Linked DNA regions of Caenorhabditis elegans. The protein of the gene in region 1 interacts with the protein of each later gene in a pairwise test. Each region holds a gene or a part of one and is shown on either strand. Other genes may lie near its edges.

Evidence for each region.
Region 2: the proteins of fzo-1 (region 1) and immt-2 interact in a two-hybrid assay, tested with the Caenorhabditis elegans proteins (one large-scale study listed by BioGRID).
Region 3: the proteins of fzo-1 (region 1) and tiar-1 interact in a two-hybrid assay, tested with the Caenorhabditis elegans proteins (one large-scale study listed by BioGRID).
Region 4: the proteins of fzo-1 (region 1) and sti-1 interact in a two-hybrid assay, tested with the Caenorhabditis elegans proteins (one large-scale study listed by BioGRID).

The regions. Positions count from the first base shown.
Region 1 is NC_003280.10:5,831,460-5,839,645, forward strand, and holds fzo-1 (Transmembrane GTPase fzo-1), read right to left. Parts: upstream 4,745-8,186; 5' UTR 4,742-4,744; coding exon 4,669-4,741; intron 4,623-4,668; coding exon 4,497-4,622; intron 4,446-4,496; coding exon 4,228-4,445; intron 4,177-4,227; coding exon 3,069-4,176; intron 3,020-3,068; coding exon 2,908-3,019; intron 2,863-2,907; coding exon 2,392-2,862; intron 2,346-2,391; coding exon 2,211-2,345; intron 2,163-2,210; coding exon 2,081-2,162; 3' UTR 1,869-2,080; downstream 1-1,868. Other genes in the region: gtap-1 (Dynein heavy chain 7, axonemal), read right to left, coding at 572-1,047, 1,093-1,227, 1,280-1,352, 1,402-1,505, 1,552-1,671, 1,717-1,773; col-74 (Nematode cuticle collagen N-terminal domain-containing protein), read left to right, coding at 1-472; ZK1248.15 (WW domain-containing protein), read right to left, coding at 5,429-5,662, 5,706-6,103, 6,153-6,401, 6,450-6,597, 6,649-6,786, 6,836-7,084; ZK1248.19 (Beta-catenin-interacting ICAT domain-containing protein), read right to left, coding at 7,255-7,452, 7,497-7,731, 7,782-7,867. UniProt on the Caenorhabditis elegans protein: Probable transmembrane GTPase. Mediates mitochondrial fusion. Fusion of mitochondria occurs in many cell types and constitutes an important step in mitochondria morphology, which is balanced between fusion and fission.
Region 2 is NC_003283.11:16,786,336-16,794,987, forward strand, and holds immt-2 (MICOS complex subunit MIC60-2), read left to right. Parts: upstream 1-2,931; 5' UTR 2,932-3,043; coding exon 3,044-3,067; intron 3,068-3,113; coding exon 3,114-3,251; intron 3,252-3,300; coding exon 3,301-4,149; intron 4,150-4,928; coding exon 4,929-5,195; intron 5,196-5,253; coding exon 5,254-5,348; intron 5,349-5,709; coding exon 5,710-6,072; intron 6,073-6,121; coding exon 6,122-6,350; 3' UTR 6,351-6,438; downstream 6,439-8,652. Other genes in the region: Serine/threonine-protein kinase dkf-2, read left to right, coding at 1-685, 744-829, 1,507-1,638; pus-1 (Pseudouridylate synthase 1 homolog), read right to left, coding at 6,508-6,921, 7,378-7,713, 7,960-8,157, 8,265-8,414, 8,468-8,617; ctps-1 (CTP synthase), read left to right, coding at 8,573-8,624. UniProt on the Caenorhabditis elegans protein: Sustains mitochondrial morphology probably through maintaining cristae morphology. May act as a component of the MICOS complex, a large protein complex of the mitochondria.
Region 3 is NC_003280.10:5,710,417-5,718,146, reverse strand, and holds tiar-1 (Cytotoxic granule-associated RNA binding protein tiar-1), read left to right. Parts: upstream 1-3,323; 5' UTR 3,324-3,341; coding exon 3,342-3,484; intron 3,485-3,556; coding exon 3,557-3,653; intron 3,654-3,790; coding exon of another isoform or gene 3,791-3,854; intron 3,855-3,989; coding exon 3,990-4,085; intron 4,086-4,292; coding exon 4,293-4,713; intron 4,714-4,791; coding exon 4,792-4,976; intron 4,977-5,022; coding exon 5,023-5,307; 3' UTR 5,308-5,796; downstream 5,797-7,730. Other genes in the region: zipt-3 (Zinc/iron permease), read right to left, coding at 1-2; C18A3.3 (putative rRNA-processing protein EBP2 homolog), read right to left, coding at 278-371, 419-726, 1,077-1,299, 1,349-1,563, 1,615-1,725, 1,769-1,840; C18A3.10 (uncharacterized protein), read left to right, coding at 2,547-2,602, 2,646-2,794, 2,842-2,852; lelo-4 (Late ELOngation arrest), read right to left, coding at 1,897-2,065, 3,024-3,223; osta-2 (Organic solute transporter alpha-like protein 2), read right to left, coding at 6,043-6,212, 6,578-6,731, 6,780-6,870, 7,146-7,256, 7,306-7,544, 7,595-7,730. UniProt on the Caenorhabditis elegans protein: Acts downstream of ced-9 in the induction of germline apoptosis under different stress conditions including starvation, osmotic, oxidative, heat shock and UV stress.
Region 4 is NC_003283.11:770,339-776,905, forward strand, and holds sti-1 (Stress-induced-phosphoprotein 1), read left to right. Parts: upstream 1-3,179; 5' UTR 3,180-3,252; coding exon 3,253-3,264; intron 3,265-3,318; coding exon 3,319-3,445; intron 3,446-3,499; coding exon 3,500-3,982; intron 3,983-4,036; coding exon 4,037-4,377; 3' UTR 4,378-4,437; downstream 4,438-6,567. Other genes in the region: str-238 (Seven TM Receptor), read left to right, coding at 1,499-1,636, 1,681-2,135, 2,180-2,247; srbc-58 (Serpentine Receptor, class BC (Class B-like)), read left to right, coding at 4,657-4,831, 5,763-6,118, 6,495-6,567. UniProt on the Caenorhabditis elegans protein: Plays a role in gonad development. Up-regulates longevity and thermotolerance. Binds daf-21/hsp90 and inhibits its ATPase activity.

The DNA.
Region 1 (8,186 bases):
CCCACAGGGACCACAAGGACCACAAGGACCACAAGGAAAGCCAGGAGTTCGTGGAATGCGTGGAGCTCGCGGACAAGGAGCCATGCCAGGACGTGACGGAACTCCAGGACAGCCAGGAAGCCTCGGACCAGTCGGACCAGTCGGACCACAAGGAGAACCAGGATCAGAAGGAGAACCAGGAGCTGATGTCGAACATCAAGTCGGACTTCCAGGACCAAAGGGAATTTCTGGACCAACTGGACAACCAGGAGATCAAGGACCACAAGGAGATACCGGAGCTCAAGGTATTCCAGGAGCACCAGGAGAGCGTGGACCACGTGGAGACAAGGGAGATAATGGAGAGAACGGTTCTGCTGGAGCACCAGGAGAGGAGGGAGAGCCAGGAACTGATGCCGAATATTGTCCATGTCCTCAAAGACAGGAAAGTGCACCAGTCAATGGAAACCAGGGATACAAGAACAGACGTCATTAGATGCGATTATTTATTTTTCTTCTCTTAAATATTTATATAAATTTTTCAAGCAAGAATCTTACGTTTTAAAACTTTAAAAATCATAAAATTGAAACTCACTTGTGCAAAACAAAATAGTCGATAGCTGCAGGAACTCTTCCAATTTCGAAAATATGATCCATAATTGACAACAAAGCGCGAATCCATTTATTTTGTAACAACTTGACAACATCCCTCTTCTTTGCGATGGCATCCATTTGTGTTAACAGGAATACACGATTCCAAGAGTTTTCAATATCTTCCCATAACCAAATATGTCTTCCAACATCATCGCCAATCACTGCTCTCACTATTTCCACCTCTTCCATATTTTTATTTAGTCGAGCCAATGTCTGTAAAGGATCTTCCAGTCGCTCAGCACGAAGTTCGTCGAGATGACAAGCGTGATCTCTAAGAAATTGTTTCACCCAATCACAGAGTACAGTAATCAGTGTCGGAAGCATCAGTTGACTGTGTTCTTCACATCTCTCCACAAATTCACATATTTCGTTAAGCTTCCGATGAGTTCGAGTGAGGTGGTCGGCCAGTGTTCGTAGCTAAAATAACTTAAATAATTGATAGAAGAAATATTAAAAATTTACATAAGATTTTTGAATATTCGCATACGGAGATTCCATTGGAAAATAATAATCCGAGTTCACTTCAAGACCACCAGACGTCAATCTGTATAGAGGCATCGACACACGATCAGTGCATATTCTTCGTTGAGTATTTTTCTGAATTATAACGTTTATTTTTGATAAAAATTATTTTAGTTTTTGAACTAACTTTAACAGGTAAATCAATAAAGTCGATGAGATGAACAGCGAGCCGTTGTTGAGTGAGCAAATAACTGTCTGTTCTCAAAATAAAATGATTAATATTCGTTTTTGAAAATCCGAATTTCTTACCCATTTCTTTGATGTTCCATACTCTTTCTGTACTCTTGACATCGTTTTACATTGCTATCATGAAACTTTTTTATTTGATGATTCTTACGAGATGAGTTGAACTTCTAAAAAAAAACAGTTTATAAAAAGTTTTCGTTCATCTTCAATTACCTGTAGAACAGCTGGAAACGGATCTCTAGGTGTCGTGAGACATACTGCAGAATCAGCACGTGAGATGTCTCCGCTTCCTCCTTCGTCACGATCTTCTAGACAAGAATTGTAGAACATTGTCTGAAATTTGTTCTAACTATTTCTATATTTGGTTCCCTACAGTACCTCCTGCGTGCATTGATCGAATTCCACAGAAATTCCAACATCGTCGTCTTCATTCATACCTGAATTATATTTTCCTATTTTCAAATACCACAACACATAAATAGAAATTCTGATGAATATAAATACAGATAATTGAATATCTTCTCAAAAATCAAACGACAAAAATTTATTCGAATTATTATTCGTCTCATAGAAGTATCATAATCAAAACACTAAAACTACTGAAATTGTCTAGAAATAACGAGAAAACAGCTCATCAAAATATCTACATTGAACCGATTACCAATCGTTCGAATTAAAAGCTATAGGACTGAGTGAATAAGGGGAAAAGCACCAAAATTAGTTAAATTCAGACTAGTCATTTTCATGGCGTTGGCGGAGAGTCCGATCGGAGATAAGAAGATGCAAATTGTTCGAGATTTCGGAGAAGAAACACTGCTTTTCCTCTGAAAATTAATTTTATTAATTCTTGACACAGATCTAAGAGGACATACTTGATTGTTCCCAATGTTCGAATTGTTGAATCAACTGCATCAATTTGTGTCTTCTGTACATCCAAATCGTTTTTCATTTCTCTATGGACTCCACCAACAGTTGCTTTCAATCCGTCAAAGACTTGGTCCATTTCTCTGAAAACAACAAATTGAATTGAAAACTATACGGTTTAAAAAATACCTGATAGCTTGTGTTTCACAGTGATGAGTATGAGCTGTTGAAACTTGTTGCATTCGAGCAGCTAAATGTGATCTGAACTGTTCTTTCAAATGTTGTTCCTTGGCTCCCGAATTCCAGCGCATTCGTTCCCATGCATATAGTCCAGCGTAGGCCGCTCCTCCGACAGCAATTACTCTCCAACCAACAGCCTTATACACAATACCACCAACAACTAGCACTCCAAGACTTCCGTTTGCTAAAAATGCGGCTGATGTCAAAACCATTTGAGTCATCATTGCCTGTTCTTCGGAAGCTGCAGAAGCTTCTGCATCTCTCACTGAATTCTTTTCGGATTGTTGTTTTAGTGATAATGGAGTAAGCAAATTGGTGTTGATTGCAGTGACAGGTTGGCCGCTTCGATACGCAATGATGCGACGAATTATTGCGTGTAGACCAAATGTGAATCGGAACTCGAGGTCTTCATGGAAATCACTGAAAAATGTAAGAATGAAACACAAAAAATCCATCGAAACTCACTTGACAAGAGCAGGGACATCGACACAAATGCTAAATTTGAAAGGAGCACGATATCGCCACACTTCTTCAAGCTTATTCTGATAAGGTTCGGCGAGGATTTTTGTCACATATTCTGGAAAAAAAATTTTTTATAACACATCAGTTCCCAGATAAACACTTACGGAACATATCATTCTCCAAATTCCAAATTCTTGACATTAGGCCACCGGTACATCTAGCTTCCAAATCACTGCTCAAACATTTGTCCACAAAGATTGCCAAATCCTCTTTATACTTTGTCATTCCGGAAGAGCTTCCATCGAAAGGTTGTTCAAATCGATCAATTATTGCATCAAGTCGTGCTATTTCTTCAAAGAAATCAGCAGAAACTTTCAGATGAACTTCGGCTCGCAGTTGCTCTGTCTGCTCACGGTAAGCTTTTTCAAATTGAGTGAAGTTTACACGGCATTCATTGAAAGTCCTGGTGGATTCGTTTAGATTATTCTGAAGCTTGCTTCTCTGCTCAGCTGCAGAGGTTAGCACGCTATTCAGATTGAGCCGCATTTTTCCGATCATTTCATGAGCTCTCCTGTTATGAGCTTCGAATTTCGTGTGAATCGCCGATCGAGAGATACAATGCTCAAAATGTCGTTCGAAATTTTGGAATTCCAAGGCTCTTGTGCCATGACCTTCTGCTTGATAGGCTTTTTGTACCAGTCCCCTAGCTTTTAATCGTGATTCCAAAACTTCTCTCGATGAAACAAAGAAGATTCGATCATTGACTTCTCTTTCTGAGCACACTTCAAGCTCATCGACCAAAAACTGACGGAATCTCGTCAAATGCTGCTTTTTTACATCTTCGATGTTTTCTGTTTCTGCTGCACTGGCGTCCCATCGATTATTGAGAATAAATACGTTGGGCTTGCTAAGCTTCTTCGCGACTCGAAGGAAGAAGTTCTTTTCGGCTTGTGTCAATGTTGATTCCGCATTTGATACAAGCACAAATACATCTGCATCTAAACAATGTTTGTCAATCCAGCTATCGAATTCTGGAGAAAGATCGACACCAGGGCTATCAAGTATGACGACGTCGTTTTGAAGAAGTCGGCATTCCCCTGATTCCGATTTCTTTGGATGAAACACTTTCAAAAGAGAATCCTGTCCCATTGCCGGAAGATCTGAATTTTCGTCACTCAGTGCGTGTCCAATTTTTCCAAGCATTTTCATATCAATCTTTTGGGGATTATCATCTAATTGTAGATGGCCAACTTCGCCTTCTGAACCTTCAACCTGGAAATTTCAAAAATTTACAATAAAATATGAAAAAAAAGTGATTCTCACCTGCAGAAAGCAACATGTTGTATGTCCCATTCCCTGGGGCAACACTTTCTCATGAAGCATCGCATTGATAGTTGTACTCTTTCCGTTGCTGGTTCTTCCGAAAAATACAACCTTCATGTTATCTCTTTGAAATGTGTCCATTATAGTTTTGATTGAATCGCCAATTGCTTCGATTTCTTCCCGCTGTTCAGAACTAACAAAGTCGTTCTCTTTAATATCTGGAACTTTTGTGGGTTTATATTTGCGGCGAAGTAAAAAACAGAAAATACCTTTGTAAACACCTTCTAGTTCAGCCACATTGTCTTTCAGTTCTCCATAGACATCCCCAAGAACCTTTTTAGCTTCTCGAAATCGAAGAAGTGGTTCATTATCGGCAGCACGACGCGAATTTTTCACTGAAAAGTTTATTGCATTGTTTTTTGAAAGGTTGAATAAACATACAGCTGTGAAGTCCACGATGATTAGAATCACCACTGGCCGGCAGAGTATGAACTAAGCTTGCTGTGCCAGACATTACCTGAAAACTTAAATATATTTAAAGTCTCATAAATCAGCCGGAAATTCGATTCGAGGATTACGAAATCGCTTAAAAGTCTAGAAAACATTAAATCTTATTTGAAATATCGAAAAGGTTATACAAACATCAAATTATTCATTGGAATAATAAAAAAAAATGAAAAGGAACACTCGAATTATCAGAGAATTTCCATTTCTGTCTCCGTCGCGAGCAAAAAAAGAATGTTCACTGGAGCGCGCTCTCTGTACACAAAAGAATCGATTATCGGGAGACAACGATTTGTGAGAAAAATTAGTTGTCTATCGAACTATTTTTGATTAAGAAAAGTTACTGTGCTTTAAATTGCCGTTTTAAACATTAAAAGATATAAATAAACTTTATGAAAGCAGTTTGTAGAAAATTTGTGAATAATGCTTGCTGCAAATTTTTTAATCAGCAAGCCCCCGTTCTTGAAATTCTGCAGTGTCTCTTCTTAAACTTCTGATTGCTTTTTGGATTTATATATTTAGAAAGCAAAAACAATCGAAACATTTCTATTGATTTAGCGGTATTCTATTAAGTTTGAAGTAAAAAAAAACATAAAAAACATTTATTCACTAAATAATTCACTAAAGTACACCGTACATGCAATGAGACCGGATGCAGGAATGCAGAAAAATCATAATTATAAATAGGAAACAATATTCAGGAACAATCCATATTGTCGTTGAAGGTACATTCGTCATCCGAAAGGCTTAACGGAATTTTTGGGCGATTACTATTTGGCTTGGTCGTCTTGACTACGTTTCCATTTTGAGATGATTGATATGTTGATGAGGGATATGTCTTTCTTGGTTTAAATGATTCCGAGTTTGAGGAAGACGGTTGAAGAGTGATCTCGTCTGCTAGTGGGATCGATGGTCGAGATTTTCTGGGAGCCTGAAAACATATTTTAATTTACAAAATAATAATTTTTTGTTACCTCTACTTTGTTTTCTTTAACAAAACCAGCATTGCGACCAGCATCTTTTTTGGCTAAGTCGTTGATCCAACTTTCCAATTCGCGATGTTTCTTTACACTTTTAACAGCTTCGTTCCTTTTGTATTTTATGTCGTTGCTAGTGTATTTGTTAGAATGAGAATTAGCATGATGTTCTTTCCTAGTAGTTTGTCTTCTATCAGAATTCGAAGACTTCCTTGAACTATTTAGTTGATCCGAATCCGTTTGTTGTTTCTTCCGACCATGAATGGTGTCCATGAATGATTTAACTGTCTCAACGTGCAGATCATGAGTCAGTGCTTTGTTTGAAAGATTCACATCCTCGGTGACGAGTATAATAGCACGATCATTGAGGTTCATTGTAGATGGAATTGACATTACTGAAAATTGTGGTATATTCTCGAATCTTAATTTAAGAAAAAAACTTACTTTCTCTTTTTATTCGCAATGCAGTTCTTAGAATCAAATCATCTACAACAGTTGTGTTTGCACTGAAGCCGTTTATCTGAATCTGTTGCTCTGTGCTCGTCTCGACATGCAAGTACTGATTCTTCTCTTCCAGAAGATCTTTTATACTATTATTTGCACAATTAGCTACAATTCGAGTGTGTCCTGATCCGTTTTTAAGACCATCTAGCTCAGATAATGTAAAATATGGAATGACTGTGAGAATTTGTTCTGAAAATAATAGAAATTTCAATAATAATATCATTCTCTATATTTTACTTTCGATGGAAGCATTGAGAACATCAGGATTTCCCAGAAGAGCACAGGTATCGAATATGGCACACGCACGATAATGCAAATCTTTGAATGGTCGAACTTCAGAAGACCATGGAACACGTGGTAGCATTTTATTGGAATGAGATTCTACCTGCAACTGATTTTTATTTTAAAAGAGCTTAATAATTATATCAACACTAACGCCACTGCAGCTGGGAATGTCTTCTTTTTTCGTTATTCTCTCCGAACTGTCCGATCTTCTTGGCCTCTTCCATGAAAACTCTTCATCATCCAACTTCTCCATAGACTTCCGCTTTGGCGGGGGTACCACATCGACTTCCTAAATTTTAATGAATAAATTAATCTGTTAATTGATAATTAATAGTTACCATTTTATCATCATCCATGGTCCCATGGATATTTTCCTCTACATCTTTCCGTTTTCTCGTTTTCGCTTTAACCGGAGATTTTTCCTCATTTTTTCGGGTGTTTGGATGATCCCATAAACTTTCTTTTGTCTTATCATTCGTATAAAACTTCCGTTTCTTTTCCGTGTGCCACCAGGCTTTCCATGGAGGTGATACATTTTCCGTTTTATCATCTAACCTAACTTTTTTTGGTTTTTTTGGAGAAGCCATTATTTGTACTCTGAAAACTGGTGAGGTCCTAGGAATAAAATCATTCGTGGGAAACAAAGATAAATTGAGCAGCATGGTTAAAACCGATATAAAACAAGCGATTTTTGATTAAAAACATTAAAAAAAAATTATAGTTTATATACAAGTAAAAATTCATAATTTAATAAAAATTACACATTTCCACTGAAAAGACGATTCGCATTTGCCTCAATTAATTGGAATTCTGGTGTTTCTAATCGATCACTGAGAAACTTCCTTTCATCTTCTGTTAATGTTTCTTCAAGGCGTCTCAGTGCCATCAAAATTTCAAATTTCCTTTCCAGATACCCTTGCTTCGGCATTTTTTGAGATCGGTAGTTGGTTTCTGTCTGAAAATTAAATTTTAAACGATAATATCATTGAGATTAGTTACCATCATCAATTTTTCTCGTAAAAGACCAGTATGTTTTCCAGCAAATAAAGCCATAATTTCAGGTGTTTTGAAGGCTTTACTTATTGCTGTTCGAATCGCAATTTTAGTCGCCGTGAGATCATCAATTAAAGAAACATCTCCGCCTTGCAGGCGTTCGACTATTTTTCCATATTCCTGAAGTTGATTTACAGTGTCTTCACGCAATTCCCTGTATTCGTCTTCTTCGAGATTATTCCTGAACAAAGAAACATTTGAAAGTAAAAAACAAACAAAAAATTCACTCACTCTTCTTGTTCTATTTCTGCTAACTGCCGGATCAATCGATCAATAGTTTTTTGAGCATTTTTAATAAGCAAATCGTCTACTCCCATGACGAGAAAATTAATTGCAAGAGGAATTTGCAAAAAACAACAAACAAAAATGCTGCGCGTCAAGTAAAATGCATTTCGTAAATCGAGTGTACGCAAACACCATGACGCAAAAGTGCATGTTTTTGGAAAACCTCAAAGTTGGATTAAAAATGTTTGGTATTTAAAAGTTTTGCAGTATTCCTTTATATTCGGACAATTTGAAGTTGAATACATCGAATTCTGAATAGGAAATTTTAATTCTAAACAGAGTCTGCAACATTTTCCATGAAAATCGAGCTATTGTAGTCTGCCAACAAAACATTGCTACGGATAAGGAAAC
Region 2 (8,652 bases), on another chromosome or scaffold:
TTCGCTGAAGAAGTCCTCGGATCCGGACAGTTTGGTACTGTTTACGGAGGAATCCACCGACGAAATGGTCAACACGTCGCCGTGAAGCTCATCGATAAGCTGAAATTCCCGCCGAACAAGGAGGATCTGTTGCGGGCTGAAGTGCAGATCTTGGAGAAGGTCGACCATCCTGGGGTGGTTCACTTCATGCAGATGCTTGAGACGACTGATCGGATCTTTGTTGTGATGGAGAAGCTGAAGGGTGACATGTTGGAGATGATCTTGTCCAGTGAGAAAGGAAGGCTTTCGGAACGGACTACGCAGTTCCTGGTGGCTCAGATCCTTGAAGCTCTCCGTTACCTTCATCATTTGAATATTGTGCATTGTGACTTGAAACCGGAGAATATCCTTCTCAACTCGAACTCGGACTTCCCACAAGTCAAGCTTTGCGATTTCGGATTCGCTCGAATCATTGGAGAGAAGAGCTTCAGGCGGAGTGTCGTCGGAACGCCTGCCTACCTGGCGCCTGAAGTTCTACGGAACAAGGGATTCAATCGATCGCTCGACATGTGGAGTGTCGGTGTGATTGTCTACGTCTCACTGTCGGGAACGTTCCCGTTCAACGAGGACGAGGATATCAACGATCAGATTCAGAACGCCGAATTCATGTACCCGCCGACACCGTGGAAGGAGATCTCTGAGAATGGTAGGGCGAATACTTTTGTTAGAAAAGAATCTGTGAGATTTATTGAATTCTTTTGCAGCTATCGAATTCATCAACGGACTGCTCCAAGTTAAGATGAGCAAGCGGTATACGGTGACGAAAGCGCAGTCGCAGATCTGGATGCAGGTAGGCATATGGAGACCTTTTTTGGGTCTCGCAGCGAAAATTTTTTCGAGCTGAAAAAGTTAAAAAAAGAAAATTAAAGATTTTTTCTGTGAATTGAAAGCTGAACTTTTTTTTACTTTCTACTGTAAAAATTGTGAAAAAAAATTCTAAAATATTTTTTTAACGAAAATTTAAAATTTTCAAAATTTGGGGAAAAAACACAAAAATCAGGAAAAAATACGAAAATCTCTTTTTTTTTAATTTGAAAAAATCCGAAACATCGGCTTTAAAAAATTTCGAATTTAGAAAAAATGTTTGAAATTTTTTTTTAATAGCAAAAAAAAGTTTTACCTGCAAAAAATCGGGAAAAAAATCCGAAAAACTTAGAAAAAAATTGTATTTTTTTAATTTGCAATCATTTTAAAATCATATGAAATTTAGAAAAATCCAAAAAAAGTAAAGAAAAATTGCAAAAAAAAATAATTTTAATCCAAAAATCCGAAAAAAAATTTACTTACAGAAAAATCGGTTTAAACATTTTTTTAAGGATAAATAAAAATTGTTTTAAGCGCAAAAATCCTTTGAAAAAAAATAATACAAATTGCAAAAAATGCATTTTTTTTTTGTTGGTTTTTCAATAAAAAATAATTTCGAAAATTAATTTTTTTACGAAAAAATTGAAAAACTTTTTTTTTCAGAACTACACCCTATGGTCGGATCTACGAGTACTGGAAAAAGCTGTCGGTCAACGATTCGTAACTCATGAAAGTGATGATGTGAGGTGGCAGGCTTACGAAAAAGAGCACAATGTGACTCCGGTCTACGTATAATATCCAGCAGCAGGACCCCCAGAGAAACTTTTCATATTTTTTGCATCTTCTTGTCACATATCCATTTAAATTTTATTTCGTTTTTTCTTGTTTCATAATTTTTTTTCCAAATTTTCTCACTCACATTCCCTGTGTTCCCACACCCATTTCTTAAAACATTCCTAGTCGAAAAATCCTCCTAATTTTTACGTTTTTCCCCGTTTTTCACCAAAAAATCGGAATCCAACCCCCACCCAGCGCACACAAAATTTGCCATATGATCCTCGAAAATTTCCCGATTTTTTTCCAAATTTGTCCAATTTTTACCAAAATTTGTTCTTTTCTATTCACTTTTCACCGCAAAAAATGTTTGAAATTTCATCAGATTTTCTTGTCTAATGATACGCCCGAAGATTTATTTATATATGTGTATGTTTTGATTGAATTATTACTTTTTCTTTATTGAATGAATTGGTGTAACTGAAAATATATTTTATATTTTTTTGCAAACAAACAATGACAATTTGATCGAAACAAATGAGGAAACAAATTTTTTTATTTTTTCTTCCAAAATTGTTCCATCAGAAAAGCTAGATTTTCCAATAATTTAGACACAAGTTGTTAGGGCTAGATTGTTTTGTTCTGGAAGTTCAAATTTCTGAGAAAAATCATTTTCCAAGTTTCAACTATAGAAATCGCACCTAAAAAATTGTTTTTGAATTATTGGAAAATCTAGCTGTCCTGTTGAAGCAAATTTGCATTTTTTGGAAAATACTTAAGACAAACATTTATTTCAGCTAGATTGTTTTGTTCTGGAAGTTCAAATTTCTGAGAAAAATCATTTTCCAAGTTTCAACTATAGAAATCGCACCTAAAAAATTGTTTTTGAATTATTGGAAAATCTAGCTGTCCTGTTGAAGCAAATTTGCATTTTTTGGAAAATACTTAAGACAAACATTTATTTCAGCTAGATTGTTTTGTTCTGGAAGTTCAAATTTTCGAATTAGAAATCGAACCTAAAAAATTGTTTTTGAAATATTGGAAAATCTCGCTGTTAGAACGCCAGATTAAACTAAAAAGTTAGAACGCCAGATTAAATTATGCAGCAACCACCATGAAGTCGCTGCCGATGAGCTTTTGTGCGCGCTTGGGTGCCGATTTGAAATCAATTAGCTGAGAGGAAACCATTTTTCCAATGAAGACTCTTCTGCTTCGCTGAAATTTGCCAAAAAATGTCAAAAAATCTATCGAGTTCACAATCCAGGACTACGGTAGACTTTGAAATCTGCATTCTGACGTGACCGTGTACACGAAAGTACGTGACACGTCAAACAGATTTAAAAATCTTTTTTATATAATTTTTCCAATTTTTCAATCATTTCGAGCGGTTTTGAGTGTTATTCTTCAGATTTTTAATTCAAAAGTCATGCGTGGAAGTCGTAATTTATTGGTATGTTCATATTTATTAAATATTAATCAAATTCGGGAACTTTCAGACTCAGCGACTGGCTTCTTCTCGAGCAACTGGTTCTTCGGGAGGTCTCAAGTTTGTCGGAGCCACTGTTGGAGCGGTAACTGCTGGTGCAGCAGGAGTTGCTGGATACGCTTCTTATGATAATGAGTTCAGAAAGAAGGTTTTAAAATTTAAAATTAAAAAAAAACAAAAAAAAAATCAAATTCCAGCTAGAAGGCGTGATTCCCGGTTCTCGAACTATTTTGAATTACACGATCGGAGAAGAAGAACCGCCGGCGCCTCGTCTTAAAGATCTTCGACCTCTGCAATATTCCGCAGATCCGAAAGTTCCACCAAAGCCATTTGAGCCGAAGCCCGTGAAAAAAGAGCTGATCGGAGTTAAGGAGAACCTGAAAGAGACTACTGAACCAAAGAAAATCGAGAAAAAGCCCGAAAATCCATACATCGGCGCGAAGACTCCACTGAATCCCCAGGAAAGGAACGAAAAGCTCACGGAATCCCTGAAAAACCACCTAACTCAAGCCGAAAAAGCCACGAAAGTTGCGACTAGCGCCAAATTGGAAACGATTCGAGCTATTGAGCATCACGTTCAGACAATTCGTGAGGCTATTGAAGCTGGAAAAGACGGAGATTGGGATTCAGTGACTGTTGCTCATCTGAAGGCAAAACGGCTCGCTGAAAAGGATGAAAAAGCCGAGAAATTGGCTAGAAATGCCGTCGCTGACCTTGTCACGGAGGCAAACCTCGGCGGTCAAGGTGAGACTACTCAGCTGAATCCACTGGTTCCAATCTCAAAAGCAACTGCTGAAAAGCTCTCAAACGAGCTGGATGAGATGATTTCAAACGTGAAACATGTCGATTCGGAGCGTATTTTCGTGCATGACTACAGTGATCGTGTAGCGGAGAGCCGCAGGAAATTCCAAATGGAACTGAAAGCAGTTCATCCGAATTTGAATTATGAAGATGGAATGAAGATCAAAAAAGCGGATTTGCACACGATTTTGGCTCATGCTCACTTGAGAATTGATCAGCTCAGCCAGAAATTGATTGATAGCAAGGCAAATATTCATTTTTTTGGCATAGTTGTAAAGAAAATTGCGTTTAAATCTCAATTTCTCCTCTAAAGTCGATTTTTCGAATTTTTCCTGTGAATTAATGCATTTTTTCCTGAAAATTTTGAAAAAAGAACGAAAAAAAATTGAAAATTATGTGTGTCGATTTACGCAGCTCGTGTACTCCCCGAGGAGAAGTTTTATTACAGTTTTTCAGCTGAAATGCTTGATTTTGGACTATTTTCACCTAAATTTAATAGCCAAATCGCAAATTTATCACATTTTACTATTCCACTAGAAAAAAGAAAAATTCCAGTTTTCAAATAGTTAAACCGCAAAATGTGGTTTTTATGTATCTCTAAAAAATAAAAAGCGATAGTTATGTGAAAATTGTCGGTTTGGCTTTTGAAAACAGGCAAGAATGGTCTAAAATCGCGAATTTCAGCTGAAAACTTTAAAAAAAACTTCTCCACGGGGAGTACACGATTGGCGTAAATCTACACGAGACGCTGGAAGAGTTTTACACGGTCATTCTGCAATTCTGGCATTTTTTCCGATTTTCCGGAAAATATAAAATTTTTTATAGAAAATTAACAATTAAATTCAATTTAAAAAAACATGATTTTCTTAATTCAAAAATTAAAGCCTTTTTTTGAAAATCTGTTTTTTTCAGATTTCAATGAAAAATGTTAATTTTCCCGATTTTTCAACAAATTTCCTCAAAAAGAAACCAAATTTTAAATGTTTCAGCTCCGAATTCCCGTTTTTTATCGATTTTTTTCCAGCTAAACGAGGAAAAACGCATCCAATCGATCATTGCAAAGAAGAAGGAAGATCTTCTCGAAAAGCTTCGTCTCGAGACCAATGCCAAACAGGCCGCAGTGATCCCAGAGTTCGATAAGAAGAAGCTCGACGCGGAGCTCGCTCGTGCCACTGCTGAAATTCAGAAAAAATACGACGAAAAGCTGAAAGAAGTCGTTCGAACTCAGAAGCAGCTGTACGATATTGAGCACGCGAAGGATGTAGATGAAGCTGTTCTGAAGGAGAGAAATGTATAAAATTAACGATTTTTCCGGATTTTATTTGTTTAAAAATTGAAAAAAATTTCAGCTCCACTCGTCGGCGGTCGGAAAAGCGTTGGCTCAGCTGGCTGGAATTGAAAAAGCGCTTTCTGGACATCTTCAAATGGATATTGAGAATAGAAAGTACTGGATTTAATGTCGATTTACGCGGGCTCTTGTACTACACGACGAGAATTTTAAAGTTTTTTTTCTGAAAATCTCAATTTTGGAGTACTTTTCCTGCTCTTTACCCTTTAAAATGACCAAAATATCCTATTTTTGGCTGAAATTTTTGGTATTTGGCAATTTTTGCTTGATTTTAGCATTCCAAATAGTCAAAATATCGATTTTCATTTAAAACTCGATGAATTATTGATATTTTGACTTTTTTTTTAGTTAAATTCAAGCGTAAACAGTCCAAAATCGACAATTTCAATCAAAATCCGCCAACTTGTGCGAAAATGTTTTGAATCAAAATCTGAAAAAAATCCCACCATTTTTCCAGATCGAAACAAATGTGGCTAGCCACCCAAAATCTGAAGGGAACTGTAATTTTCGGAAATCGAGCCAGCTGCTGCATGGAGGGAAGACGTGCTCCACTGGGAGATCAAATGAAGACACTTCTCTCGTGCTGTGGTGGTGGAAACTCTGATGAATTCGTGAAAACCATCAATACGGCAATGTCGAAAACCTCAAAAGTCCGCGGGGAGTACACGGAGCAGGATCTGAACACACGCTTCAACAAAGTCTGCCGAATCGGACGTCGTGTTGCCTATGTCAATGAAGGTGGAGCTCTGGCTCATCTCTACTCGTGGCTCAAGTCTTCCCTGACTATTGAGCTCGTCCCGAAGAAGGGTGCTAATGAGAGGTAGTAGTGTCTGAAATGATATCTATCTGTAAAAAAACTATAATTTCAGCCTGACCCCAGCTGTCGAGAACAACTTCACCTTGCTCACACGTGCCGAGCAACTCTGGAAGTCTGGCAAAAAGTCCGACGCGATTCGTGTTCTTCAGCTGACCGACGGGGCCACCCGTAGAGTTGCTGCCGATTTCATCGCTGATGCTCGCCGCCAACACGAGGCACTTCTTCTTTCACGTCTTCTGCTCGCCCACGCGGCTCTCACCTCCATTCGTTCCACTTATTAATAATTATTGAATATGCCAAGTAGTACGTCGTCTGTTGTCTGTCTGAGAATTATGTGTTCTCTCAAAATAATAAAATTATTATTATTTTTTACTTTTAAACAATTTATCAATCAACAAAAACAACAAATTTTACAGCAGTTAAATCAAAAATTATAAATTATCCAGACGACGTCGCTGCTACTGGCTCAGGAGTGACTTCTGCTGGAGCCTCGGCTTCCTTCGGAGCATCTTGAGCCTCTGGAGCAACACCATCCTGCTCCTTGGCCGCCTTGCTCGCACAAGCCGCCGCCATCGTCACAAAAGTCTTCTTCTCGGGCTCCTCAGCTTCCGCATTAGCCGTGAAGTCGTGATGAACAAGATCCGCAAGCCATTTGAGCATTCCCTGAGTGAGCAGCTCCGTCTCGATCATATCCTTGGTGATGAGCTCGAACTTGGTCCGCTCGATTTCTTTTTCGATGATCTCTCCCCAATCGGTCAGTGGTTCGTGGGATTTTGAATTCTTTCGATCGTAGGAATCGTAATGAGTCCGCTCGAGGAGGAGACCCAGTCCTGGAGCCATTGGGATATCCATCTGAAATTTTTTATTTTTTTAAGTTTAAAAGTTTTCGGCTAAAATGCTAGATTTTTGCACTTTTTAATCTCTTTTTCATTTGGATTTCGTTAGAAATTAATTATTTTCGTCTAAAAAAGGTGTTAAACTCGTGAAAAAGCGGCAAAATTGCGCGAAAACTGTTAAATTTTGCGGAAAATAATTCGAAATTGTCCACGAGGAGTACACGCTTGCGTAAATCTACACAATTCTTAAAGGGACATGTACCTCGTGCGCGTGATCTCGCAACGATGCGCGTTTGCCGCTTCAAAATAGGGTTTTTAAAATATTTTTTGGTGAAAAAGATTTAAAAAAACACAAATAATGTTATATTTTCACACTTTCGACGCGAAAATATCGAAAAAATGTTTAAAAATTGTGTTTTTTCGACTGTTTGAAGTTGAAAAAACACCGAAAAAACAGGAAAAAAACACGAACTCGCTGTCCCTCGAATGATCTTTGAATCGACGACTTTAAATGCAGTTCCCGAATGACTGTAATCACCATTCCGACCATTTTTCGAATCTGATGAAGTACAAATGATTGTCCTTTAATCACAATTTGCACGAATTCCACGTCTTCTTTACGAAAATCGTCACGAAAAAGGAATGGTTCTTTGCATTCGAATGAGATAATGTATCGATTGGAGCTCATATCATCGTAGGCTCTTTTAGCGGTATAATTGAAGAAATTGTGGGTTCCGAGGTAGATTGAGAGAATACTGTTCACCTCTGCCAAGGTTTCCGGGGAAAGTCGGAAAGAGGAGTTGGTGAGCTGGAAAATCAAGAATTTTTAGAGATTCTCACGGAATATCAGCGGGAAATTCGATTTTTCGATCAATTTTTGCCCGAAAATACAGGTTTCCAGTCTTTTTTCGCCTGAAAACTTGATTTTTCAGTCTATTTCCGCAGAAAATTCACATTTTCAGCGTGAAACTAAAATTTTCGGTCAAACTTTGCCGGGAAATTCAATTTTTCAGCTAATTTTCGGCGAAAAATCCAAATTTAGCCTCTTCTATACCTCCGTAGGCTTTGCAAACACAAAAGATGGACACGTGTAGCTATAGGTTCGATGATCACACTGCTTCTGTGGATGGAAGAAATTCGTGGTCCGACGCATTCCAAAAACACGAATATCGGCTGGAAGAATGTTGTTAAGAATTCCAGCTCCCTCAGCTTGATACTTGGCGTCATCTCTGGGTAGTTGCATTCCGCACATCTGGAAAAATGATATAAAATTCGCTATTTTTTCCTTTTTTCAATGAAGTTTTTCGGCTTTTCAGTGAAAAAAACACTGATAACAGCAGCAAATTAGTAAACTCCAACCTGTCTAGCAGCTGATACTGCCCTATCAGTTCTCGCCGCTCTTTGAAAAAAGAAATCAAATGGTTTTTCTTTTTGAGCGGTCGTGATCCAACCGGCCGTCTCCATTGCCTCAAGAAGCTTTGATTCAATTGTGGGCAGGTCTTTTTGAAGCTAAAAATTAATTAAAATTTATCAATTTTGACCTTTTTTTTATCTTATCAGACCTGCATGCCGTAGTATTTTTTGCCTTGATAGCCTAAAAGCATCGCATATTTTGCCTGCTTTACTCTTGGCTTTTTAGGTTCCTTGTGCACACCACCCGATTGAACATGGTTGAGCTTGTCGACGGTTTGCTCCTCAACGGTTTTTGTCATGATTCGGGTGAGCCTTTGGAGCAGTTGTTTGAGCA
Region 3 (7,730 bases), 120 kb from region 1:
ATTTTTAGTGCATTTTCTGAAAAATCTGCTTAGCGATTTTGATTTGGTTGGACTTTTTAAAAAATACAAGATCGATTAAAAAACGATTTGGAAGTTATTCAATGCTTGCAACAACAAATTATTTTATTGGACATTACTAAAATCAGAAGATCAACAATAAAAATGGGATAACTGTAAGAACAAAATTTTGAAAATCGAAATCCATAACAAGGAAAAATCAACAATGATGTAACAAAAGTTCATAAATTGTAAATATAAAAATAGGCTTAACGTTTGCTTAACGTCTTCCGCGTCCACCGCGTCCTCCTCGTCCACCACCACGACCACGTCCACCGAATCCTCCGCGTGGAGCTCCGAACAGATCATTGAAGCTGAAAAAAATAAAATAATTTCAGGAAAGACCGATGAAGCTTCTTACCTCTCCTTGTTGTTTCTCTTCATTCCCTTCTTCTTTCCTCCATAACCGAATTTATCCGATTTCAGTTTTCTTTTGAGTTCTCCTGCGTTTCTCATCGATCCTCCTCTTCCAGCTCCACCTCTTCCGGCACCACCTCTTCCTCCTAGACGGTCACCGAATGCTCCAGTCGGTGCGTCATCATCCTGATCAAGACCATGTCTTTTCACGTTGTTCAGCATATCTTCCAATTGTTGTTTCATTCCCTTTTTGTGCTTCTTCACAGCTTCTGCGAGGTTCTTTTTCTCTGTATTCTTGGCAGCGAGAACTTCCTGAAAAAAATGATATTCATGTTCAACGATTTTATTTTTGTAAATTCTACAAAACGAATCAGAGTAAATAGCATGTTTTACCAATATTTTAAATTTAAATTTAGTGATGGAAAATAGAAAAAATGTTTTATCTGGAAATAGATTTTTATTTCAGTTTGAAACAATTGCGAAGTGCTCAAAAACTGTATCAAAGTTGGATATTGCTGCAAAAAAATTTTATCCTGCAACTTTCAACTTGCAAACATTTTTGAGTGTTTGTCCAATCGAACCATTAGAAATTAAAGTTATTTTTCCGTTATTTTAATTAATTTTTAGGCTGAAATTTTTCTGGTTTTTTGAACAACCATTACCTTCTGAACCTTAACAGCAAACTTTTTCTCTTCACGAATACGGCGGAATGCTTCTTGTCGTTCCTTCATTTCTTGAATTCCGAGAAGTCTCTTGCGAACTTTCTGCATATGAGTGTCACTCTTTGCCATCTCTGCATAGTAATCTGTTGGTCGCAGAACTTTGATACCAAGATTCAGAAGACGTGGATAGGCGATTTGAACAGCTTTTTCAGCTTGCTTATAGCTTTAAAAAATTAGAATTTTCGAAATTATACAACCCTCGTGCAACTTACAAATTCAACTCTCTTTGGAAGTCGTCATTTTCCACTTTCTTGTCCATTTCAGAATGAGGAGTTACCACTTCAAGAGTCTCAACCCATGGAAGATCTTTTGTGATTTCAGCCAATTTTTCTTTCATTTCAGCACTTTTGTTGATGATCGGACGCTTTTTGGCTACTTGAATGTTGAGTCCATCTTTAAGAAGACCAGCAGCGAATGCGGCTTGGAGCTGCAATCAGTTTTTTTTTTTGAAAATACTTTTTAAAAAAGTAATTCTCACCTCTCTTTCATCGTCATCGCCGTCTGATTCAACCTCTTCGATATCCATCGCTTCCATTGGTTTTTCCTCGATAGCATTATCGAAGTCAAATTCGGATCCGTCGGAATCGCTCTGAAATTTTGAATTATTTTTTAAAACAAAGTATTTTCCTCACTTCTGGTTCCGGTTGACGACTTTTTGAAGTGCTGGCGAGCCGCTTGGCGAGCTTATTCATTTTACGAACCATCTGAAATCGATAATCAATAAATCCATTAAAAATTAGAAAAACACAATTATAAAATATTAAAAACGCTGAAAACGTTTTCTTTTGAAGATCGAAGAATAGTAAAAAATTAACAAATTATTATTACAAACATTCACAAGAACAAGAAAAATATAATACATGAAAACAAAAAAATTATTAACAATTATTATTGCACATCGAATCGAGCACCAATGAGAAGACGGCTGGCTGAAAGTTTTTAAATAATTAGCTTGCACTAAAAAATTAACAAAATAAATAGTATTTTAATACATGAAACTTTGACAAGAAACATTTTATATCGGTAATGTGTCTTCCCAAAAAACAGCCAATAAATTCTTGGCCGAACTGCGGCGCATTGAAATTTCTCTTCCACAAAAGATTTCTCGTTCATAATGCTGCGTCCAAACCCGAAAAAATCTCAAATGTTCTTCATTTTTTTAAATTGAACTGATAATTGAAGAGAAAAACGATTATCGGAAGCAGCATAAAGATATATTGACCCGAAAATTTACGAAGAGACCCCCAGAAAACATTATTTAGATTGAATTTTCTCTTTGAACAAACACATGAATAGGTTTTTAGTCTATCAATTGATAAGAGTCGGAGTGCAATGGTATGTGCGATGTGACTCATTTTTCTTCGATTTTTTGTACAATAAGAAACAATTTTTCAGAAAAATTTAATGAAAATGAATAAGTCTAAAGATCGAACACCTACAGTATCCACGATTGAGAGCTATGGAACGTAAGTTTTAGAATCAAATTTCTATGATATCTGTACTTTACAGAGATATGCCGCATGAGCATTATCGTTACTATAGAGAAAAAAATATATGTGGCATTTCTGGACCAATATGCTTTTGTTCAACTCTGATCTTAGTGGGATTTTTGATTTTGCTAGGAATTTTGGCGATAGTTATATTTTTCATACTTCATCGTGAGTACTAGACGTCCAGTTCTTAATATTAAGCATGTTCTTTACAGATACGTTATGAAACGAGTGGTCAGCTTCTCACTATCAACGACAAAATTATATTTCTTACTATTCTAAACCCTAAAAATGGATTTTCAACGTTTATACATGAATGAAAACATATTTTACGCCTATTGTTTGATTGGAATGAATTCTAAATTGATTTGATGTTTTAAAACTTTAAAATACTCACCATTTTTGCGGAGGAACGGGCTGAAACTTAAAATTATTTGCAGAAATTCGAAACTGAAAACTCTGTTTTGAATTGCCGCTTGAGTAAGATCCGCAGGGTGACACGCAGCGCACTGACCGCAACGCTCTAGACGACACTTGCGAGCATAGTTTTGAATGTGAACGCAGCGTTCCCGCACTGTTTTTATTGGTTTTTTGCATGTTTCTTTGTTTTTTTAAGTATTTATTAAACGTTTATCTCTCTTTACGATATTACGACATAAATTATTTTCTATCTTCTTATTCGTTTTCTTTTTTACAGGGATCTATCATTTAAGCCATGTCCTTCTTCAACCCACCAGCAAACTCCAACCATGGTTACAATGACGACGTCAATACTGGTTACAATGCCCGAATGCATTCAAAACTCGCCGAAAGAGAGGGATTTCATCTCGGAAACGGTTCAGATGAACCAAGAACTTTGTAAGTTGGGTACATTGGAAAGTTTCGAATTTCTTGTTGAAAATTGTCAATTAATTTACTCTTTTGTTGCAGGTATGTTGGAAATCTTGATTCGACAGTCACTGAGGACTTTATAGCGACTTTGTTCAATCAAATAGGATCGGTTACAAAGACCAAAGTTATTTTCGACGTAAGTTTTTCGCTTTGGAACAAGACTAATCTTTACAGAAAACTCTTGCTTGCTCGCGGTACGTATGATTTTTATCCGCTTTTATTTTTACTTTTAAATGTGAATCTTTTTGATTATGATGTTTTCTAATTTCACAGGAATTGGGGTACCTGGCTACAAATGCACAAGGCGGCAACCAATCCACACCGACACTGAGACAGTGTATACCTTTTTCTTTTGAATTTTTTGTTGTTTTAATTAAGTACTAAGAGGAAAACATGCGTTTTGAATAGATTTTCATAGAGATTGAGAGAAAACCCGGGAAATCAAAGTATTAGTCAAACGTTTTCATTTCAGGGTTCTAATGATCCATATGCGTTCGTTGAGTTCTCTGATCATGGACAGGCTTCCCAAGCTCTTCAGACGATGAACAAGCGACTTCTTCTTGATAGAGTATGTTTTATTTGAAACGACAAATTAACTCCTGTATAAAAAACAAAATTTCGATATGATTCCACTGGGTTCCGATGTAAAATTTGTATTTTTTTAAGTGTTAGCAATATAGTTTATTTGCTTAAAAAATTAAATTTCGTTTATGTGTCATAAATAAAAAAAAGTAAATGTGAAAACCTATTTCAAAATCAAATTTGTTATTTTCAGGAGATGAAAGTCAACTGGGCCGTGGAGCCGGGGCAGCAGCAGTCAAAAATTGACACTACCAGACATTTCCACGTTTTTGTTGGAGATCTCTCGTCCGAAGTTGATAACCAAAAACTGCGCGAAGCTTTCCAACCATTTGGAGATGTTTCGGACGCCAAAGTGATCCGTGACACTAACACCACTAAGTCAAAGGGTTATGGTTTCGTTTCATACCCGAAAAGAGAAGAAGCTGAGCGTGCTATTGAGCAAATGAATGGACAATGGCTCGGAAGAAGAACTATCCGTACCAATTGGGCTACAAGAAAGCCAGGAGATCAAGAGAAACCAAGCCATTATAATGAAAAGTCATACGATGAGATCTACAATCAAACTTCTGGAGATAACACTTCAGTCTACGTCGGAAACATTGCTTCACTTACTGGTAAGTCAACAAAAATTTAATATTTTATAATACTTTCATTGAAAAATTCTAACGTCGAATTTATAATGTTTTTTGCAGAAGATGAAATCCGCCAAGGATTCGCCAGCTTTGGACGAATTACCGAAGTCCGCATTTTCAAGATGCAAGGATATGCATTTGTGAAGTTTGACAACAAAGATGCCGCTGCAAAGGCTATTGTCCAGATGAACAACCAAGATGTCGGAGGACAGCTTGTTAGATGTAGCTGGGGAAAAACTGGAGACGTAAGCGTTTTGATTAATTTTTTTAGTAAGGAAAATCTTATTTCAGACTGGAAAAACTCCTGGAGGATCTTATGGTTACGGTTATGGAAACTCATCGTCTGGAGGAAACTCACAGCCGTACTCTGGATATGGTGGTGGCGGAGCTTACGGAGGTGGTCAAGGAGGAGGAGGCCATGGAGGACCTGGACAACAGCAATCCAATGCCAACAGTCAGTATTGGCAATACTACGCCCAATACTACAATAATCCTCAACTCATGCAACAATGGTCCAACTACTGGCAGCAACAAGGAGGAGCTCCACAACAACAGAACTCTGGAGGACATCAATAAACTCCAGTATTTTTTAAAAACATTTTATATGTGACCCTATTGCCCCCGGATTTTGTCATTTGAACTTAATTCCAAGTTCCACCCATACCTTAATTTGTCCGGCTGTGGCCTTTCTGTCAGTTTTCTCTTTCTCGGCATTCTAACGCACTTTTCTATTTATGATTTCCTTTTTTTCTATGTATTTGTTATAATACTTCCCTTCTGAAACAATCTGTTGATCTTTTGACAATCATTATATCAAATTTTTTTCTGTTTTTTTATTTGCTTCCATTACGTGTCCATTCCCCACCCACACCACTTCATCACCTAATCAATATGTCTAGATTCAAAAAGAAAAAATGCACACAAGCAAACCCCTAAATTACACTGGTAGATTACAATGTTTCGTTTTCTTAATTTTGCAATGGCACGTATTCTTATCTGGTTCTGTCTTTTTTCGTTTTTTTTCCTGTTCCTGAAGCACAATAATAAATGCGAGGGTAAAGTCTTATTGAGTTCGAAAATGTTTATTTCCATTTCTGGGGGTTGAGGTTCTACACGTTTTGGGATTTTTAAATTTTCGGTTGTTGCAAATTCCAGCAAAGACATTTTGCACACAGGACGAACGGGTGAGACAAAGGGATGAAAAGTTAGTTGACATCAGTTGACTAGAAAATGCAATAGAAAGTGGAAGAGGATCACGGATTGAGAAAGTAGGGGGAAAAGCTATTGTATATGAAGAAAATGATAATATTCTCAAGTGGTCGACTCGTCAGTGTCCACATCAGTTATTGTGCTCCGCGCAGAGCTCATCGATCGGCAGCTTGGATGTTTGTCAAAGAATGATGATTTTGATGGTTGTAGAAGTACAGTGCTGATTAATGTGACACAGAATGCTTCAATTACTGTGAAGAAGTTCTTCCAGTCTGCAATTAAATTGGATTTAATGATAATTCGATTTTTTTTTTATTCAATCGCGAAGTTTTGTGATTTTTACTCCGAAAGTACGGTACCTGGTCTCGACACGACAAATTTTTGTTAAATGCGAAAGGATGTGGGCCTTTAAAGAGTGGTACTGTAATTTCAAACTTTTTTTGCTGTGTACTTTCTATTACTTTTCCAGAGAAAAACTAAGAAAAATCGATGAAAATCCCGCAGCAACGAAAGTTTGGAATTACAGTACTCTTTAAAGGAGAACACCTTCTCGCATTTAACAAAAAATTTTCGCGCCGAGACCTGGCGCAAAAATCGCAAAAACTTCGCATCTGAGTAATATTTAATTCAAACTCACAGAAAGAAGTCTCAATTGCTGGAAGTACAGTACCACATCCAAATGCTCCATATCTCGCGAGAAAATCAAAAACTGGTTGTTGCAATCCGAACACCATGAAGAAGAAATCAAGAAGACGGAATACAACAACATATCTGTACGAGATTAATTCATCCTGAAATTTAATGAAAAGTTATAGAATAAGCTTTTATTTAATTCTTACCATCCGAGAAACCGTTGTGACTAATATGTGAGTTCCGTAGATTCCTGCCAAAAGAGATGGAAGTGTGATAAAGTCGAGCACTTTTAGTGGGCTGAAATGAAAAATAATTATTAAATGGAGATATCAAATTTAGAAATTTAGGAATGGGCAGACTTTTAGAAAAATAAATTCAGTTTTTCTTCAATAAGTAGATTGCTTTAATGGCAAATATGTCAGAAAATATTGAATAACTCGGGGGAGAATTGCAACATTCTCGTGGATACTGTAGCCACAACATTTTCTTTTTTTTCAACGTTTTAAACAATATATTTGGAAGCAGCAGGTTTCTGATTATCAATTCCATTTAGAGTTTTTGAAATTACTCACACAAGGCCCTGATCTTGATATTCAAAGTAGATTACAAGCGAGACAAGTGTGGCAAATAAGCGAACGATCGGCGCTTGCATTACCATCAGCTCACACCATCTTATCTTTTTTCTGTAAATAAATATTCAATTTCAATTCTTCTTCTATTTAATAAACGAACCCTTCCAGTCGGACTTTTGGAAGACATGGAAATAGGCAACAGAATGGAGGTGTTGCTATCTCAACATACTGTAATCGCTGCATCATTTTCGTGACAAGGGCATGATGTCCATCGAATATGTGTAAAAGTAGACATATGATGACCCAGAGAGCAAACGAAAAATAGAGAAACGAGAGAAGATGAGACAAAAACCATACACGTGGCATGTACATTGCCACAAGTGCAAGTAGGGAAACTAGCTGAAAGGAGAACGAATTGAGTTCGAGGGTTACAGTAGCTAGAAACCTACCGGCGCAGTGCATGCCAGAAGCACAATGTGCAGTCGTCTACTGGAATGTGTGATGTAGAAGTGAATGTAGATGAGATGTAGAACTGCAAGGCATACTGTACCCACGGTTACTGCAGTTGCCACGGCCAGCGAGGCA
Region 4 (6,567 bases), on another chromosome or scaffold:
CAAGAACATAAATAAAAACCGCCCCCAAGAACATTCTATTTCAGTGTTTATCAACGTCAATCTCGTGTTTTCGGCGCTGAGCATTCAACATGGCTCGGTTAGATCAATTGTCAATGCTATGTCAAATCACTGGATTGACTACGTGAGCGATCAAATATTACGTTCTATTTTTGACTATTTAACATTTCAGCTGATTCCGAGAGAGCAACAAGGATCCTTCACGACAAGCAAAAAGACGGAGCCTCTTACTTTCTTCCCAGGAGACTTGACAAATTGGCCAGCCGGTTAGTTTATGATTTACATGGGCGAGCCACATAAAAATCGTTTTCAGCTCTTCTCGCTGCGGCAATCAAGTTGGACAACGACCAGGTGGACGTTACTCGCCTTCCAAGTGTGGTCAATATGCTGTTCAAGCATCATATCAAAGTCAGATTGTAGGTTTCTTGTTATTTACTTTAAAAAGCCAGCGAATAGAATTTTTCTTTAACTTGAAAAACTATGTTTTCACAAATGTCTTTTTGCAGCGATCATGCCCGTGGTTTGTATCGAACAAAACACGACGGCCAGAATCCACCAAAAATTGTGCTGCCAAAGCGTCCCATCATCGATTGCACACAATTCTACAAGAGCAGCGAGGATATCGATGAGGAGCAAGTTCCATCAACTTCGAACTTTCAATCATCTTCGAACTCTCTATCAACTTCGAAATCTGCTGGAAGGGAAAATATCCCAGACTCCCCATAAATTCACTAGTTCTCCTGTTTTCTGATACTTTCGAAACTTGTTTTTTTGTTTTTTTTTCCATTTTTCGTTAAATGTTTTTTTTCTGTTGTTTTTTCATTTTGTTTCATTTTCATAATAAATCGTGTTATTTTTTATGGTTTTATAAAAGTTTAATCCAATATGAAAGCAAAACTAGCTAGCAAGAAAGCATAACTACGTAGCAAAACATCACCGCTAATCAGCGGAAAAGCACAATTACTGCGGTTGACTAAGCCGTGACATAAATGCTAATTAGCAGTGATTTTCTATCGCTCTGCCGTGACTCCAGTCTATCTGAGGGGTACTGTAGGGGTACTGTAAGGGTACTGTAGTTTAGGAAAAATTGACTTTTCGTGTTTAGGAAGAATATTGGCTTGGGGTTAGACTGTCGCAGTACTGTAGAGGTAGTGTAGGATTACTGTAGTCTTGGAATATCTGACTTTTCGTTTTTTGAGAGGATATTGGTTTGGATTTAGTGGGGTTAGATGGTCGCAGTACTGTAAGGGTACTGTAGGATTACTATAGTTTAGAAAAAATTCACTGAAGTTTAAAGGAAAAGTCGTGGTGAGACCTATCATGGCTAAAGCCATTCGTTTTGGCGGGAATTCAAATTTTCTGACTATGAGAAAAAATTTTGGCAAGAAATTCAATTTCTGAGAAAATAAAACTTTCTAGAAAAATTTTGAAAATTGTGGAATTAATATAATAAAAATTTTAAAACGTTAACCTTTTTCAGCCATTCATTTCTTAAAACAAAATCACTCCGAAAAACGTTGATCTGGCTCTTGATTCCTGTTATCTACGGTTTCCTCTGGGCAGTCAATTTATATTGTACACTATGGGTCAACACGGATACTGAACAGATATTACAGGGGTGAGTAAAATGAAATGCTTGTTGTACTCTGTTGAACTTCTCAGGAATGGGTATTTACGCGAGAATAAGTTAAACATATCCGACGTAACATATATTGGGCCCAACTATTGGAAACTTGATGAAAATAGAAATGAAGTTATAAATTGGAGAACAATGTTGGGAATGTCTATTGCATCGACACTGATCTCGATTTCCTTCGCAATGATTGTCATTTTTGCAACTTTAAGCTACAAAGAGGTCTCCAAGCTAACCGAGCTGACTTCCCACTCCGAAAAATTCCGTTCAATTCAACTGCAACTTTTAAATTCTTTGGTGTTGCAATCACTTGTCCCGGCGTTTTTCATACAGTTGCCATCGTTCGTCCTATTTCTGGCGCCTTTTTTTCATTGTGGAAGGCCAGTGTTTGGCGAGATAATTGGTGTGACGGTTGCTCTATACCCAGTCTTGGACTCACTTCCAACAATTTTAGTGATCAAGGCTTTCCGTGAAGCAATATTTCGTGAGTAAAAGTTGCCAGCCAAATAAGTTGAGTGTATTTTCCAGATTGTTGCCCATTCACTAATAAAAATGCTACACTTCCCACATCCGTAGCACTGGTTACTATTCAATAATAATACATTCAATTTAAATGATAGAAAATGGACTGTATAACTTAATCGAAACTTGTTTTTACACTTTGCAAGAATCTGATTATTTTAAAATTTTTGTAGATCACAACGATATGGGACATTATGACACCACGAGAGAAATGTCTGAAAATTTACACACATCAAAGTATATACAATAAATCGGTCATTACGGCTCATTTTCTATCTTTTAAAGTAAACATTTTGCGTCAAGAATACGGTAGCCGGTCTCGACACGACAAGCCTTTGTCAAATGAGAAAAGGTGTGCGCCTTTAAAGAGTACTGTAATTTCGAGCTTTTGTTGGTACGGAACTTTTATCGATTTTTTTTTAGAATTTACGTGTTTTTATTTGTTTTATTCAAGTCTTTTTATTAAATAATAACAGTTGAGACGAAAATATGAAAACTCGATGAAAATTCCACAACAACAAGAGTTTGACGCTACAGTAATCTTTAAAGGAGCACACCCGATTACATTAAACAAAAATAGTCGCGTCCAGACCTGGTACCATATTTTTGACCAAAAATATTCATTATTCCGCGAATTAATGATAACAAAAGTCAGAATTTTGTTTAGTTTCGGGAAAATTCGGAGCAAAATTCAGAAAAATTCAAAATTTGACTCGATGCTCGTTATTTTCCGGAGTATCTGTATTTTTATCGTGAAATCCAGTTCACATTGGGTATTCCGGGCGCCTTTACTTTTCTTTTTTAAATTTCCTAATCAATTTCTATATTTTTATGTATAAAAATCGATCTAAAACGAAACGGGTATTATTTAAAATTCAAGCGTCTCCCGCCAAGCGATTATTTTCTCTGCGTCTCTCTCCTTCGCACACTCTCTGCCTCGCTCGCTCAATAGAGCGCGTTTGCCATTGGCAAATTTTCTCGAAGAATTCCTCATTTTCTCGATTCATTTCCTTCTTTTCATCGTTTCTGCTCACTTTTATCTCATTTTTTTTTCAGATTTTTTCAATATTTCGGCAAAAATGACGGACGCCGTAAGTTTTTCAACAATTAATCAATAAAATTCAACTAAAATTCCCTATTTTCAGGCGATTGCTGAAAAAGATCTCGGAAATGCTGCCTACAAGCAAAAGGACTTTGAAAAAGCTCATGTTCACTACGACAAAGCGATCGAGCTTGATCCTAGTAATATTACCTTCTACAACAACAAAGCCGGTAGGTTTTTATTTAAAAAAAACTGTAGATTTTCCCTAATTTTCCGAATTTCAGCCGTCTATTTCGAGGAGAAAAAATTCGCGGAATGTGTGCAATTCTGCGAGAAAGCCGTCGAAGTTGGACGCGAGACCCGTGCCGATTACAAGCTTATCGCCAAGGCCATGTCTCGTGCCGGAAACGCTTTCCAGAAGCAGAATGACTTGAGTTTAGCCGTCCAATGGTTCCACCGCTCGCTCTCCGAGTTCAGAGACCCCGAGCTTGTCAAGAAAGTCAAGGAGCTCGAGAAGCAGTTGAAGGCGGCCGAGCGTCTTGCCTATATCAATCCAGAGCTTGCCCAGGAGGAGAAGAACAAGGGAAACGAGTATTTCAAGAAGGGCGACTATCCGACAGCGATGAGGCACTACAACGAAGCGGTGAAGCGTGATCCGGAGAACGCGATTTTGTACTCAAACCGGGCCGCGTGTCTGACGAAATTGATGGAATTCCAGAGAGCTCTTGATGATTGTGACACTTGTATTCGGCTGGACTCGAAATTTAGTACGATTTTCTAATTTTTTTGCTCAGAATTAACTAAAAATTGTATTATTTCAGTCAAGGGATACATCCGCAAAGCCGCTTGCCTCGTCGCAATGCGTGAGTGGTCGAAGGCTCAGCGAGCCTACGAAGATGCTCTCCAAGTCGACCCATCCAACGAAGAAGCCCGTGAAGGTGTGCGTAACTGTCTGCGAAGCAACGACGAGGATCCCGAGAAGGCCAAGGAGAGAAGTCTCGCCGATCCAGAAGTTCAGGAGATTCTCCGCGACCCAGGAATGCGTATGATTCTCGAGCAGATGAGCAACGACCCGGGAGCCGTGCGAGAGCACTTGAAGAATCCGGAGATCTTTCAGAAACTCATGAAGCTCCGCGACGCTGGAGTCATTCAGATGCGCTAATTATTTGATTGCTCCCGGTTTTTCACCCATTATTTGATTTTTATTTGAATTTTTCTCCCCCCCCCCCCCCCCATGGTCTGTGTTTTTTGCATCTCGCTCGTCCTCTGGACTCGTCTTCAAAATATAAAAATATATTTATCGTCGTCGCAACTAAAAGACAAACAAAATCTCATTAATTTCAGACATTTTTTTGTACTTCGCACTACAAAATTGTTCATTCGACTGGAAGCTGAACCAAAAAATTCGTCGAAAACAAAAAAGTCACAACTTCCTTCCCTTATGTCTTCTTTGGTGACGTCGGTAGCGATTTCAGCGATTTTTTTCACCGAAATCAACGTTTTTCTGAATTTCTACCTGCTTTCTCAAATATTTATACGAAAGAAAATCCAGAAAAAGCCAGAATTATCACTGATTTATTGCCGTTTTCTAATCGACGTGATTTATTCTTTCGATAGTGAGTTATTTTTAAGCGGAATCTAGGAAATTTCTCCAAATTTGCCCGATTCTGCTCGAAATCGCGAGTTTCTTTCCCCAAAACCATTTTCAAACGCGCGCCAGGGACATTCTCATTGGAGCGCGCCGCGTGTGTCGATTTACGAGAGTTCGCATTTTTCTCGAGTTTTTTGCGGAAAAAATCGAAATTTCAATGTTTGAAGCGAGAAAAAGTGATGAAAAAAAAGGAAATTCATTGAAAAAATCGGAAATCTGAAAAATAAAATTTTCTTATAACCTGAAACATGGTAAAATCTTAATGTAAGTGTTCAAATTATCAGTCATACGTAAAAAACGGAAAAATTATCGGCAATTTGCCGGTTTGTCGGAAATTTCGAATCCGGCAATTTGCCGATTTACCCGAAATTTCGATTCCGGCAATTTGCCGGTTTGCCGGAAAATTCAATTTTAGCAATCTGCCGATTTGCCGGAAATTTTCAATTCCGGCAATTTGCCGGTTTGCCGGAAATTTAAATTTCGCCAATTTGCCGATTTGCCGGAAATTTCAATTTCGGCAATTTGCCGATTTGCCGGAAATCTTCAATTCCGGCAATGTTCACGTCACATATTTCTGGCGAAAAAGTTCCCGCATTTATTGTAGATCACACCGAAATGGGACAGCCTGGCACCGGGATTCCCAGTCAGGGGTTGGCGGCAAACAACTTTTCCGGCAAACCGGCGAATTGCCGGAATTGAAAATTTCCGGTAAATCGGCCAATTGCTGGAATCGAATTTTCCGGTAAATCGGCCAATTGCCGGAATTGAAGATTTCCGGCAAACCGGCAAATTTCCGAAATTGAAGATTTCCGGCAAATCGGCAAACCGGCAAACTGCCGGAGTTGAAATTTCCGGCAAATTGGCAACAAACAAGAATTAAAAAAAAACAATTTCAGCATCAATATTTTTGATTTATTCCCTGATAAAAACGCTTTTTCCCGAGTTTTCTGTGAAAAACCTGGCATATTTCGTCGCTTGGCCCGGCTTCAACTTGGGAACTATTCGCTGCTGGATTGTATTTTTTATAACATCCGATAGAATTTTCGCAACATGCGCTCCGATTTCATATCACAATCATCGATTCAAAATTCCGCTCGCCGTGATTATCATCCTCATCTCCGCGTACACAATTCTCGAGCAATATATTTTATTCGGATATTGCGATTTTGTTCTAGACGTTCCCGCCGATTGTGCCATTTTCCGGTGTGCAATTAATATTTGCTATCACGAGTATTGGAAAACTTTTTCGCAGGTTTCAATTTGCAGTGGTGGTGCCGCACAGAAAAAGAGGCGGACACGTGGTGTCAGGCTGTCTCATTGCGGTTTGATCTACAAAAAATGCGGGAATTTTTTTCCTAGAAAAATTGTGACGTCAGCACGTTCTTAACCATACGAAATCAGTTGAGAACACTACGTATCATTCTCCCGCATTTTTTGTAGATCAAAGCGAAATGGGACTTTCTGTTTAGACGTGGGCGGAGCGGCGTTTTGCAAACTTTTTGGAGAAAACTAGAATTTGTTGCTTTTCAGGGAAAATCATATTTTCTTGCCGCAGGTTTGCAAAACGACGCTCCGCCTCTTTTTCTGTGCGGCACTGCAAAATCAGCAGCTTGATCGTTTCGTTTTAGACGATGTATTTTTGCATTGGAACGTTGACATTTATTTTATTTTTTCGACTTTTCATATGGAATCATTTTATAC